3 linked regions of the Daphnia pulex genome follow. The protein of the gene in region 3 purifies or fractionates together with the protein of the main gene of each other region. This does not show direct contact. Links are inferred from orthologs where the notes say so. Each region holds a gene or a part of one and is shown on either strand. Other genes may lie near its edges.

Region 1 (3,072 bases), on a different chromosome or scaffold from region 3:
AGCTCATTCTGGTTGGAGATCATTGTCAGTTGGGCCCAGTGGTGATGTGTAAACCAGCTGCCAAAGCTGGTCTCTCGCAATCACTGTTTGAAAGACTGGTAGTACTTGGCATCCGGCCCTTCCGTTTGGAAGTACAGTACCGTATGCACCCAAGGTTGTCCGAGTTTCCTTCCAACTTCTTTTACGAGGGATCACTACAGAATGGTGTTTGCGCGGAAGACCGAATCCTTCGCGGGGTAGATTTCCCTTGGCCAATGCCAGATAGGCCCATGTTCTTCTACGTTACATTGGGTCAGGAGGAAATTGCTGGATCGGGTACGTCCTATTTGAACAGAACGGAAGCGTCAAATGTGGAAAAGATTGCTACACGTTTTCTTCGATCCGGAGTCAAACCAGAACAAATTGGCATCATCACACCGTACGAAGGACAAAGAGCTTATCTTGTACAGTACATGCAACATCAAGGATCACTACATGCTAAATTATACCAAGTAAGGGAATTCATATTTCAAAACCTTTTACGAAATCTTTAAATTTGTATTTTGTTTTTGAAGGATATCGAAATAGCTAGTGTAGATGCTTTCCAGGGTCGCGAGAAAGACCTCATCATCATGTCGTGTGTTCGCTCAAACGAGAACCAAGGAATCGGTTTTCTCAACGATCCCCGTCGTTTGAACGTTGCTATGACTCGCGCCCGTTACGGAATCATTATTGTAGGCAATCCTAAAGTGTTGGCCAAGCAGCCTGTATGGAATCACCTGCTTCACTTTTACAAAGAAAATCATGTTCTAACTGAGGGAGCTCTCAACAACCTCAAAGAATCCATGATGCAGTTTCCCAAGCCAAAGAAACCAATTAATAGTTTTAATCCTGGTCAGCATTTCATGTCCACAGCCGTCTACGACGCACGCCAGGTATGTTCGTATTCACAAAAGAATTATTTCAAATTATGTAGTGCTTGTCTGTCAAGGATCTTGTATTCTATTTTAAAATAATCTTATCATTTAAAGGCCATGGTTCCTGGTTCCGTCTATGATCGTTCGGGTGGGGGTCAACCACCAAACAACAATGGTATGAATACTTACATACCTCGAGCCACGGCCAATGTTGGAGATCCGTACAGCCGTTTGCACGATCCAATCGGTTACATTGCTCCAGAGAGGGCACAGGCCGCTCTTTCTGCTATGCCCGTTCCCTTGGGTGTCTTTATGAACATGACGCACGTCCCGCCTAGATTCCACGGCCAGCAGCAACAAGGGATGCATGGTTCATCCAAATCCAATCAGAGGCCAAAAGACAATGCCCGAGGAAGTGGGCCTCGCGCTGGCAAAGCCGCAAGCAAGGGAAGTTCTTCGCTGTTTACACAGTCACTTTCGCAGAATACACAGGATGTATCAACGCAGCCTTTCAGCCAGGGTGGCATGGCTCTCACCCAAGGAATGTCACAGGTACTAAATAATGCCAAGTTGAAAGGGTCGCGAAGGTATGCTTATCCATTTTAAATGTTCTTGTAGGGGATGTCGCAGACGGTCTCGGGCTTCGGAGCACTATCGCAATCGGGTCTATCCCAGTTAGATCCGTCACAAGACGCCTATATGTCATCAGATTATCAGTCGCAAATGGATGGACTGCTCTCTCAAGACTCGACGTATCAAGGGGGCCGTTCAGCCTTCTTCCGCCATGGCTCTCAATTCACGCAGGTAGGTTGATGAAGCGAATTTGTCTTACTCTTTGATTGAGCCTGTTGTTTTCAATCTAATGCCGACCTTTTCTTAGCCATACTGAAAACTGTAAGGCGTTGCAGTAATAAAAAAGACCCTAAGAAAATTGACGATGACGACGCCTGGCGGCAGCCGACCGTATTTGAATTCATCTTGCAGTTAAAGATAAAAGAGAAAAGGGGAAATCCAACGTTCATCAACTGACAGCTCGAAAGACCTATGCCCATCTATCAAATGGCCTTCAACGTCGCACACCATAAGCAGCACTAGCAATCTGCCGTTGAAGCAAGAGAGCGGTGTCCAGACGAACGAGCCGATAACGGAGCTGATGGGCTTCAACAAATTAATGTCGAAAAATACGGGAAACAACTGCTATACCCATACCATCCAACATAGTGGACCCTACCTAAGTCTGTTTCTAGTGGGTTGGAAGCCAACACAAAATCCCTTCGACAAACGACGTTTTTTTTTCGATAGAACGTCACCCAAAATTAGAATGCTTCTTTTGTAGGCCCCTCAGTTGATAACGCGTTCGAAGCTTAGTGAACTGATTTTTTTGAATTGTTTATTTCTCTTGACTTGTTTTCTCTCCAGTCGACCAATGCTTTCTCTGTTTCCTTTCACGCTCTTCAGCTTTCTTCACCTTATGCTTTTACATGCAAGTTTAGTTGTCCATTCATTTCGCGAGGATTAGTGTTGGGTTACTGGATGTTCTCACTTTGCTGTTGCCGAGCCCTTTAATAGCGCTCTTTTGTAGGAAGCAATTTCACATCGTGCGTTTTCTTTCCATCTTGACGGAGAAAATCAGATGGAAAGAAGATCAGAATACACTTTGTTTCACGGGAAATCATCGAGTGCGTTCTTTCTTTTAAATATTCAAGCTAACTCTGTTGTGCATAAAAAAATGACTGATATTTTTGTTTGGCAATCAACTACATAGTTATGAAACATTGTCTTCGTCTTCTCAGTGTTGCCAATGAAATTCTGATGATCCTGTAAGCAATTTCCAACTCAGCTGAAGGCTGGTGAGATCCACTTTACCACTAGGAATATATTCTTTAAAAGTGTCCTCGGCGTCTGCCATTTAGTTCCAGCCTATCACCAAAAACAACAATCCTTAAAAAATTTTAACACCAATTGGATAAGAAAGAGCCTTAAAATTGGATTAGTATTTTGATTGGATGTGAACAGGTCCGTGTATCACAAAATCAAAATTAAAGACATTACAGAAGGTGCCAACAAATTTTCGAAAGATAACGCGTATTAGTAAGAAAGATTTTGATACCCCATAACTCGTTGAAAGTGATGCTCAAAATCGAAGATGTTGTTTGTTTTTTAACATGTGCCTGGA
Region 2 (2,816 bases), on a different chromosome or scaffold from region 3:
GAATAAAACCTTTGAAGGATGGATTCTCATTGCATAAACAAGTCAACAAGAATGAAGCCTTGATTTTCAGTTTCCCGAGTGATGATTGCAGTGCTCTCAGTAAAGACGAGAAACCATCACAATGCACAAATGCATCCTGGGCTTCTGCACATTCTCTTGTCAAACCTATAATCAATCAATTGTTAACTGAATTCCCTTAGTGTGAGTTGTAAATCTGCTCATTACATGAAATGGCGTACAGGGCTTTGATTCTCGCCTCTTCACAGTCATCGTTTTCCAGCATTTTAAGCAAAATTGGCAATAGGTCTTCGTTGAGCACATGCTGTTGGCAGTATGGGTTGTTCTGGGTGAGGGTGCCAATCAACTGACAGCACCTCCAACGAACTCCATCGTGGGGAGAATTCAAACAGGGGATGAGGATGAAAAATCCTCCTATCTTGTGAAAGTCTGGAGAAACAAGCGAAACAAGTGTCAATGTTTTATTCAATCAATAAAAAAAGATATCTCATACCATTAGCCGTGTCCATGGAATCGGCAAAGTCAGTAATCATTTCCAATGCTTCCTCCATCTCCTGGGGATCTTCTTCAGGACTTTCGACTCGATCTGGATTGAGGATATTTAACGATTTTGATATTTCGGCTACAACGTCGACTGACAATCCTCTTAGAGCTTCTTCTAACCAGCGTCTCCTTTCTTCACTCATCGATGTGGTTGTGGTACGATCTTCAGCTGCGGTGCCTTCGATGGCAAATCTTAAAAGTCCTTGCATATCTCTTGGTTGTCGTGGGGGTTCCATTGTTTTGCTAAGGATCTCAACAACAACTTGTTATATATTTATGAAGAATAAGACGCAGTACGCAAGTTAAACCGTGAACGCATGGGGCAAGCAGACGTCAATGAAACTGTTTACTAGCAAAATCAAGAAGAGTCTGGAATAAAAAGAGCCATCTAGGCATGACTCGCATAACTTAAAAAATTTTGACATTTACAAAACAAACCTGTTAAGTTAATTAAGATTTGGATAAAATTCATTGAGATTTTAAAAAATTATTGAAAAAATCTGCGAAAGTGTGTCATATTTTTATTTGGTTTTTAATTGTAGTTTAACGCCGGAATGGGTTTCTAGCAAGTGACGTAACCTAGCGGCCGCCATAAGCATCTTTTCGAAAGTCACTCGCGTCAGGTTTGTTGTGTCAACGCACACTTTTTTTTAGAAAAAAACCACACCAATTTTAGTAATTTAAAACGCATAAAGTTTAGCCGGTTGATTGGCTGAATACAAGGACACTTAATTCGGAAGACACTGGGGTGAACGGTGTGATTGGTTCTCCCGAAATAATTCGTAGAAATGGCGGTTCCAAGCACATACCGAGACCAACATTTCAAAGTAAGCCTCATGAGTTGATAGCAGAATTGAAAATGTAACTTAATATACAGTTTTGAGGCAATTAATGTTTAAATGGAAATGCATACCTTAATAATTAAAAATATTTTGATATTTCAAGCCAAAATAACTGATTTCCATCTTTCAGGGTTCCCGGGTAGAGCAGGAGCGTCTGTTGAGTCAATCTTGCACCCTGTATGTTGGAAACTTGTCCTTTTACACAACTGAAGAACAGGTTAAATACTTCCAAGTCAACAATTGGTTCCATTTGATTTCATCTTTTCAAATATTTTAGATCCATGAATTGTTTGGGAAATGTGGCGATGTCAAGAGAATCATCATGGGATTGGACAAGTTTACTAGGACCCCTTGTGGATTTTGTTTTGTAGAGTAAGTCATTGCAACCAAATCCAATAACAAAATTGTGTTTAATTATTTCTAATTATCTTTCAAGGTTTTACCTGAGGAATGATTCAGAAAATGCCATCAGGTTTGTGAATGGGACAAGACTGGATGACAGAATTGTGAGAACTGACTGGGATGCTGGCTTCATTGAAGGAAGGCAATATGGCAGAGGCAAAACTGGAGGACAGGTCAGCATTTCGTCAGCTCAAACTTATTGTTCTCAACTAATGGATTTCTGTTTTGCAGGTGAGAGATGAATACCGAACTGACTTTGATGGTGGCAGAGGAGGATGGGGCAAAATGATTCAGCAGAAGGTGGCCACATCTGCTGCTGCTAACAATTGATAACATTTCTAAATACTGTATTCATTCATCTCTGTGTGTTTTTTTTTTTAACAAATGTCAACAAGTGTTATCCTCAATTAAAACAGACCATGCTGAATTGATTTCCTAAACAAAATCTTTTTTACCTGTGAAAGAAGACGTTTCTCGTCATGTTTCCATCTGCCAGTCCGGTTGGCCTGGATTTTATCGATCGAAAAGTGGGGACACTAGAATCTCTTGCCATGTGATCTGTCACTCCCAAAGCTTTTTCCTTTTCAAAGCGAAGCGGGTAGTTTCCCAGAAGAGCTTTTGCGGCCGCGTGATGCACGCCATCATCTACATGCAAAGAAATATTTGAATATTCAATTCCCAGTGGTCGTCTGCAACTTATAACGAATGTCACAATTGAATTTGTGTCAAATGTGAAGCTAATTCAATGATCATTGATCAATTAGATGATTTCCAAAATGGAAATGGTATCGATTTCTGATTGCTCGGTAGTTGTTTAGTTATTCCAAATTAAAACTAACTTATTTATCGTTCGAAGAAAGAATGTGCTTGACGTGACATTCAACGTGCATCTGAACTACCAGGAAAATTGTACTGAGTGAGTGTGTGTGTATCTGGTGTTGGCTGTTTGAATATTTCTGGGCGACGGCAATCGAGTTCTCTCCCACTGCTGCAGCCGCTGGAAGCATTCAT
Region 3 (3,639 bases):
CTGTTCATGTACTCAAAGATAACACTTCAGTAATACATTTCAGTTCAAGTTAAATATGGTTAAGATATTTGTACAACCAATATTTTTTAACATTGGAATGAAATAAATACAATAAATTTCCTTTTCCATTATTTGAATGTATTTGAACTAGTATTAATTATAGACCTCAATGAGGTTTAACAGCACTTGATGGATACTCTTCTCGCTGATGATACGACTCGTACATGTCATCAACGTAAAACCGTCTCTTTCTCCAGTATTTCGTTACCATTTTGTCAAGAAGAGTTGACTGGGTAGCATTACAAAATACATGCTTTTCACCCCGAATCTTCCTTTTTGCTGTTTTGCTCCAGTGACGTTTACTGTGTCCCACCATTGGCCTTATCCATGCACCCCTAAGAAAACATAATGAATATAAATAACCAGGAATGAATAAAATATATTACCATCCTAAACGATAGAACCTAGAAACAACAGCTTTAACTGTTTTGCGCTTCCCTTTTTTGAGTGACCATTTTGTAACTGATCGGGTTTGCTGCAAAGAGGGAGTAGTTCTGCAAGAAAGTAAGCTTAATTTGTGTGCTTAATAAAATTTAAATTCTTGCTTACAATGACAGATTTTGAAGCAATGGGGAAATAGATGATAATATACTTGGGGTAGCATTCATGGAAGGGTATTGGACACACCGAAAAGTTGATTCTGACGAACCCGAAAAAAACCTTGATGTGCTAGGCAGCAAAATTTTTGCTTTGACTGAAACGACATTTTTAGAAATTGGTGAATAATTCGCCAATCGAAAAGCCGATTGAATAACGTTTTTCAAAGTAAACATTTTAGATTTTTATTTTTCTTGAATCGGGAGAAAATTATTTTCAGTGTTCGTTCGTCTGCTTAATTGAATCTTTTCATGCACGATATCGATATACAAATTACAAAGGCCAGGTCTTTAAAAGGTTTTTAGCAACTTTCATTGATTTTTATTAAATTAAAAATTAAATTAGTTTCAAATTTTAGTGGATCATGAATCATTACTTTTAAGTTGTAAATTTTTGCTTTGAAACCATGAGTATGAAAATTTGGCAACACAGTTGACTCCATGTTGAAGCGATTTTAACGTCTGTAACATTCATTCTATAGCATCCTTTCACCCTTGCCGAACGGACGCAAACTAATTATTCACGAACTATCGTGCTTTTTCACACTTCTGATTTCTAAAAAAATGGAGTCTAAAGGCAGACGTGTTGTCCAACAGATGCCGGATGATTTAACTAATATTGAATTTGAAACGAGTGAAGATGTCAATGTTATTCCCACATTTGACAGCATGGGCCTCCGTGAAGACCTGCTAAGAGGAATTTACGCTTATGGTACGTACAAATGAGACTTTCACTTGTTGAGACCTTGCTCCATTATTCACATTATCCTTAACCTACATGATTTTTAATGTTGAGGTTGGCTTTAAATGTTTCTATAGGATTTGAAAAACCATCAGCTATTCAGCAGAGAGCAATTGCCCCAGTAATCAAGGGGAGAGACGTTATTGCCCAAGCCCAATCCGGTACTGGCAAAACAGCCACATTTTCAATTTCAATTCTTCAGAGTCTTGAAATTCAAACAAGAGAAACTCAAATATTGGTTCTAAGCCCCACTCGAGAGTTGGCAGTTCAAATTCAGAAAGTATGTTATGGCATTACTTTCTGTAGTACAGTGTTTTCATTTAGCTTGTGTTTAGGTTATTCTGGCTCTTGGTGATTACATGAATGTTCAATGCCATGCGTGTATCGGCGGCACTAATGTTGGAGAGGATGTTCGAAAATTGGACTACGGTCAGCACATTGTTTCTGGAACCCCTGGACGTGTATTTGGTATATTTTGCTATTTCTGTTTGTTAAGTTTGGATTGATGATAAGTGTCTTGATAACTCTACAGATATGATTCGCCGACGTACACTAAGGACACGTTCAATTAAAATGTTGGTCCTGGATGAAGCCGATGAAATGTTAAATAAAGGGTTCAAGGAGCAAATTTACGATGTCTACCGTTACCTTCCTCCAGCAACCCAAGTATGTTTTATGATATTTCATAAGAAAAACCAATTAAATCAATCTTTTATTCAAGGTGGTTCTTCTTTCAGCCACATTGCCTCATGAAATCTTGGAGATGACCAGCAAATTCATGACAGATCCCATTCGCATTTTAGTCAAACGGTAAACGTTGTTAAAAGTCTGCTTGTTTTTTATTACTAATTATTTTATGTGGTTTAGTGATGAGTTGACACTCGAAGGAATCAAACAGTTCTTTGTCGCTGTCGAAAGAGAAGAATGGAAGTTTGACACGTTGTGCGATCTGTACGACACACTGACAATCACGCAGGCGGTTATTTTTTGTAATACTAAACGCAAGGTTAGTCACGATTAAATCTCTTCTATTGTTGATTTCGATGTAACACAGTTAGATTGATTTTAGGTTGACTGGTTGACGGAGAAAATGCGTGAAGCGAATTTTACCGTTTCTTCAATGCACGGAGACATGCCTCAAAAAGAGCGTGATACTATTATGAAAGAATTCCGTAATGGTCAGAGGTATTGAAATTTTCGTCTACCATATAACCATTCAGAGTAATAACAATTATTCGTTTATTCTAGCCGAGTTCTTATTACAACTGACGTTTGGGCTCGTGGTATTGATGTTCAACAAGTTTCGTTGGTCATTAACTACGATCTCCCTAACAACCGTGAGTTGTACATCCATCGTATCGGTCGTTCTGGCCGATTCGGACGTAAAGGTGTTGCAATTAACTTTGTCAAGAATGACGATATCCGTATTCTCCGCGATATCGAACAGTACTATGCTACACAGGTTGACGAAATGCCCATGAATGGTAAAATATTTTTAGCATGTTTTTTTTTAACTCTTTCTAAATGTGTTTGTTTTTAATCAATTTCAGTGGCTGACCTCATTTAATCTATAATCCATTTCGGAAAAAGGAAAACAAAGAAGTTGATGCGTCATGTTTTTATTTTGCTGGATTTTTTTTTTCTGTATCCCCGAAGATTTGGACTAAATATATGAAACTTGTGGCCGTTTAATTAATTGTCTTGTTCCATTGTTGGAGTCTAAAAATGACGTCTACTTTACTCGTAGATCTGAAGTAATATATGAACCTTTTGCTCATGAGTTATGACTTATTGACTTATGAGTTATGACACAGTATTTATAATAAGGCATGTTGATTTTTTTTACTCACTTTGAAAATACTTGCGACAATTCGAAACCAGTATTTGAAGGACGTTCCAAATTCCAATTACAAAGTTAGATTTGTTGTATCTCTAGTAGCTGAACAAAAGCTAGAAACTAGCTGAAAACTTGGTTGCTGAAACCCAGTACCCCACATTTCCTTTTTTCTGTTTGAAAACAGTTTTGGTCTGCTACAGTTCGAAGCACCCGGTTGTTGCTTGTTGGTGGGTGATGAAATCATTTGTCACCTCGTCAACAATGTCTTTTTCAACTAATAATTTAATACGTTTTGGCTCCGGCACTTCTAATTTATTGAGAATACTTGGTAATAATCAAATAGGAGCTGGAAACGGTGTTACTAGTCGATCCATTCAATTGTCGTCAGGAGATCAATCATCTTT

Evidence for each region.
Region 1: the proteins of eukaryotic initiation factor 4A-III (region 3) and regulator of nonsense transcripts 1-like purify together in Homo sapiens (co-immunoprecipitation; 8 studies listed by BioGRID and IntAct, with this or other methods). This does not show direct contact. The link is inferred for Daphnia pulex from reciprocal best matches to the Homo sapiens genes EIF4A3 and UPF1.
Region 2: the proteins of eukaryotic initiation factor 4A-III (region 3) and nuclear cap-binding protein subunit 2-like purify together in Homo sapiens (co-immunoprecipitation; 3 studies listed by BioGRID and IntAct, with this or other methods). This does not show direct contact. The link is inferred for Daphnia pulex from reciprocal best matches to the Homo sapiens genes EIF4A3 and NCBP2.

The regions. Positions count from the first base shown.
Region 1 is NC_060017.1:7,852,900-7,855,971, reverse strand, and holds the end of regulator of nonsense transcripts 1-like, read left to right. Parts: intron 1-2; coding exon 3-491; intron 492-554; coding exon 555-914; intron 915-1,010; coding exon 1,011-1,448; intron 1,449-1,514; coding exon 1,515-1,700; intron 1,701-1,776; coding exon 1,777-1,785; 3' UTR 1,786-2,568; downstream 2,569-3,072. Other genes in the region: parafibromin-like, read right to left, coding at 3,031-3,067. UniProt on the Homo sapiens protein: RNA-dependent helicase required for nonsense-mediated decay (NMD) of aberrant mRNAs containing premature stop codons and modulates the expression level of normal mRNAs.
Region 2 is NC_060026.1:16,276,753-16,279,568, forward strand, and holds nuclear cap-binding protein subunit 2-like, read left to right. Parts: upstream 1-1,153; 5' UTR 1,154-1,349; coding exon 1,350-1,388; intron 1,389-1,533; coding exon 1,534-1,620; intron 1,621-1,680; coding exon 1,681-1,775; intron 1,776-1,839; coding exon 1,840-1,978; intron 1,979-2,036; coding exon 2,037-2,135; 3' UTR 2,136-2,232; downstream 2,233-2,816. Other genes in the region: hsp70-binding protein 1-like, read right to left, coding at 10-165, 226-447, 512-797. UniProt on the Homo sapiens protein: Component of the cap-binding complex (CBC), which binds co-transcriptionally to the 5' cap of pre-mRNAs and is involved in various processes such as pre-mRNA splicing, translation regulation, nonsense-mediated mRNA decay, RNA-mediated gene silencing (RNAi) by microRNAs (miRNAs) and mRNA export.
Region 3 is NC_060018.1:3,384,253-3,387,891, reverse strand, and holds eukaryotic initiation factor 4A-III, read left to right. Parts: upstream 1-1,090; 5' UTR 1,091-1,220; coding exon 1,221-1,368; intron 1,369-1,475; coding exon 1,476-1,678; intron 1,679-1,733; coding exon 1,734-1,866; intron 1,867-1,930; coding exon 1,931-2,064; intron 2,065-2,119; coding exon 2,120-2,208; intron 2,209-2,265; coding exon 2,266-2,404; intron 2,405-2,467; coding exon 2,468-2,583; intron 2,584-2,646; coding exon 2,647-2,882; intron 2,883-2,948; coding exon 2,949-2,965; 3' UTR 2,966-3,090; downstream 3,091-3,639. Other genes in the region: 39S ribosomal protein L35, mitochondrial-like, read right to left, coding at 167-395, 447-554, 610-833; ATP synthase mitochondrial F1 complex assembly factor 2-like, read left to right, coding at 3,470-3,639. UniProt on the Homo sapiens protein: ATP-dependent RNA helicase. Involved in pre-mRNA splicing as component of the spliceosome. Core component of the splicing-dependent multiprotein exon junction complex (EJC) deposited at splice junctions on mRNAs.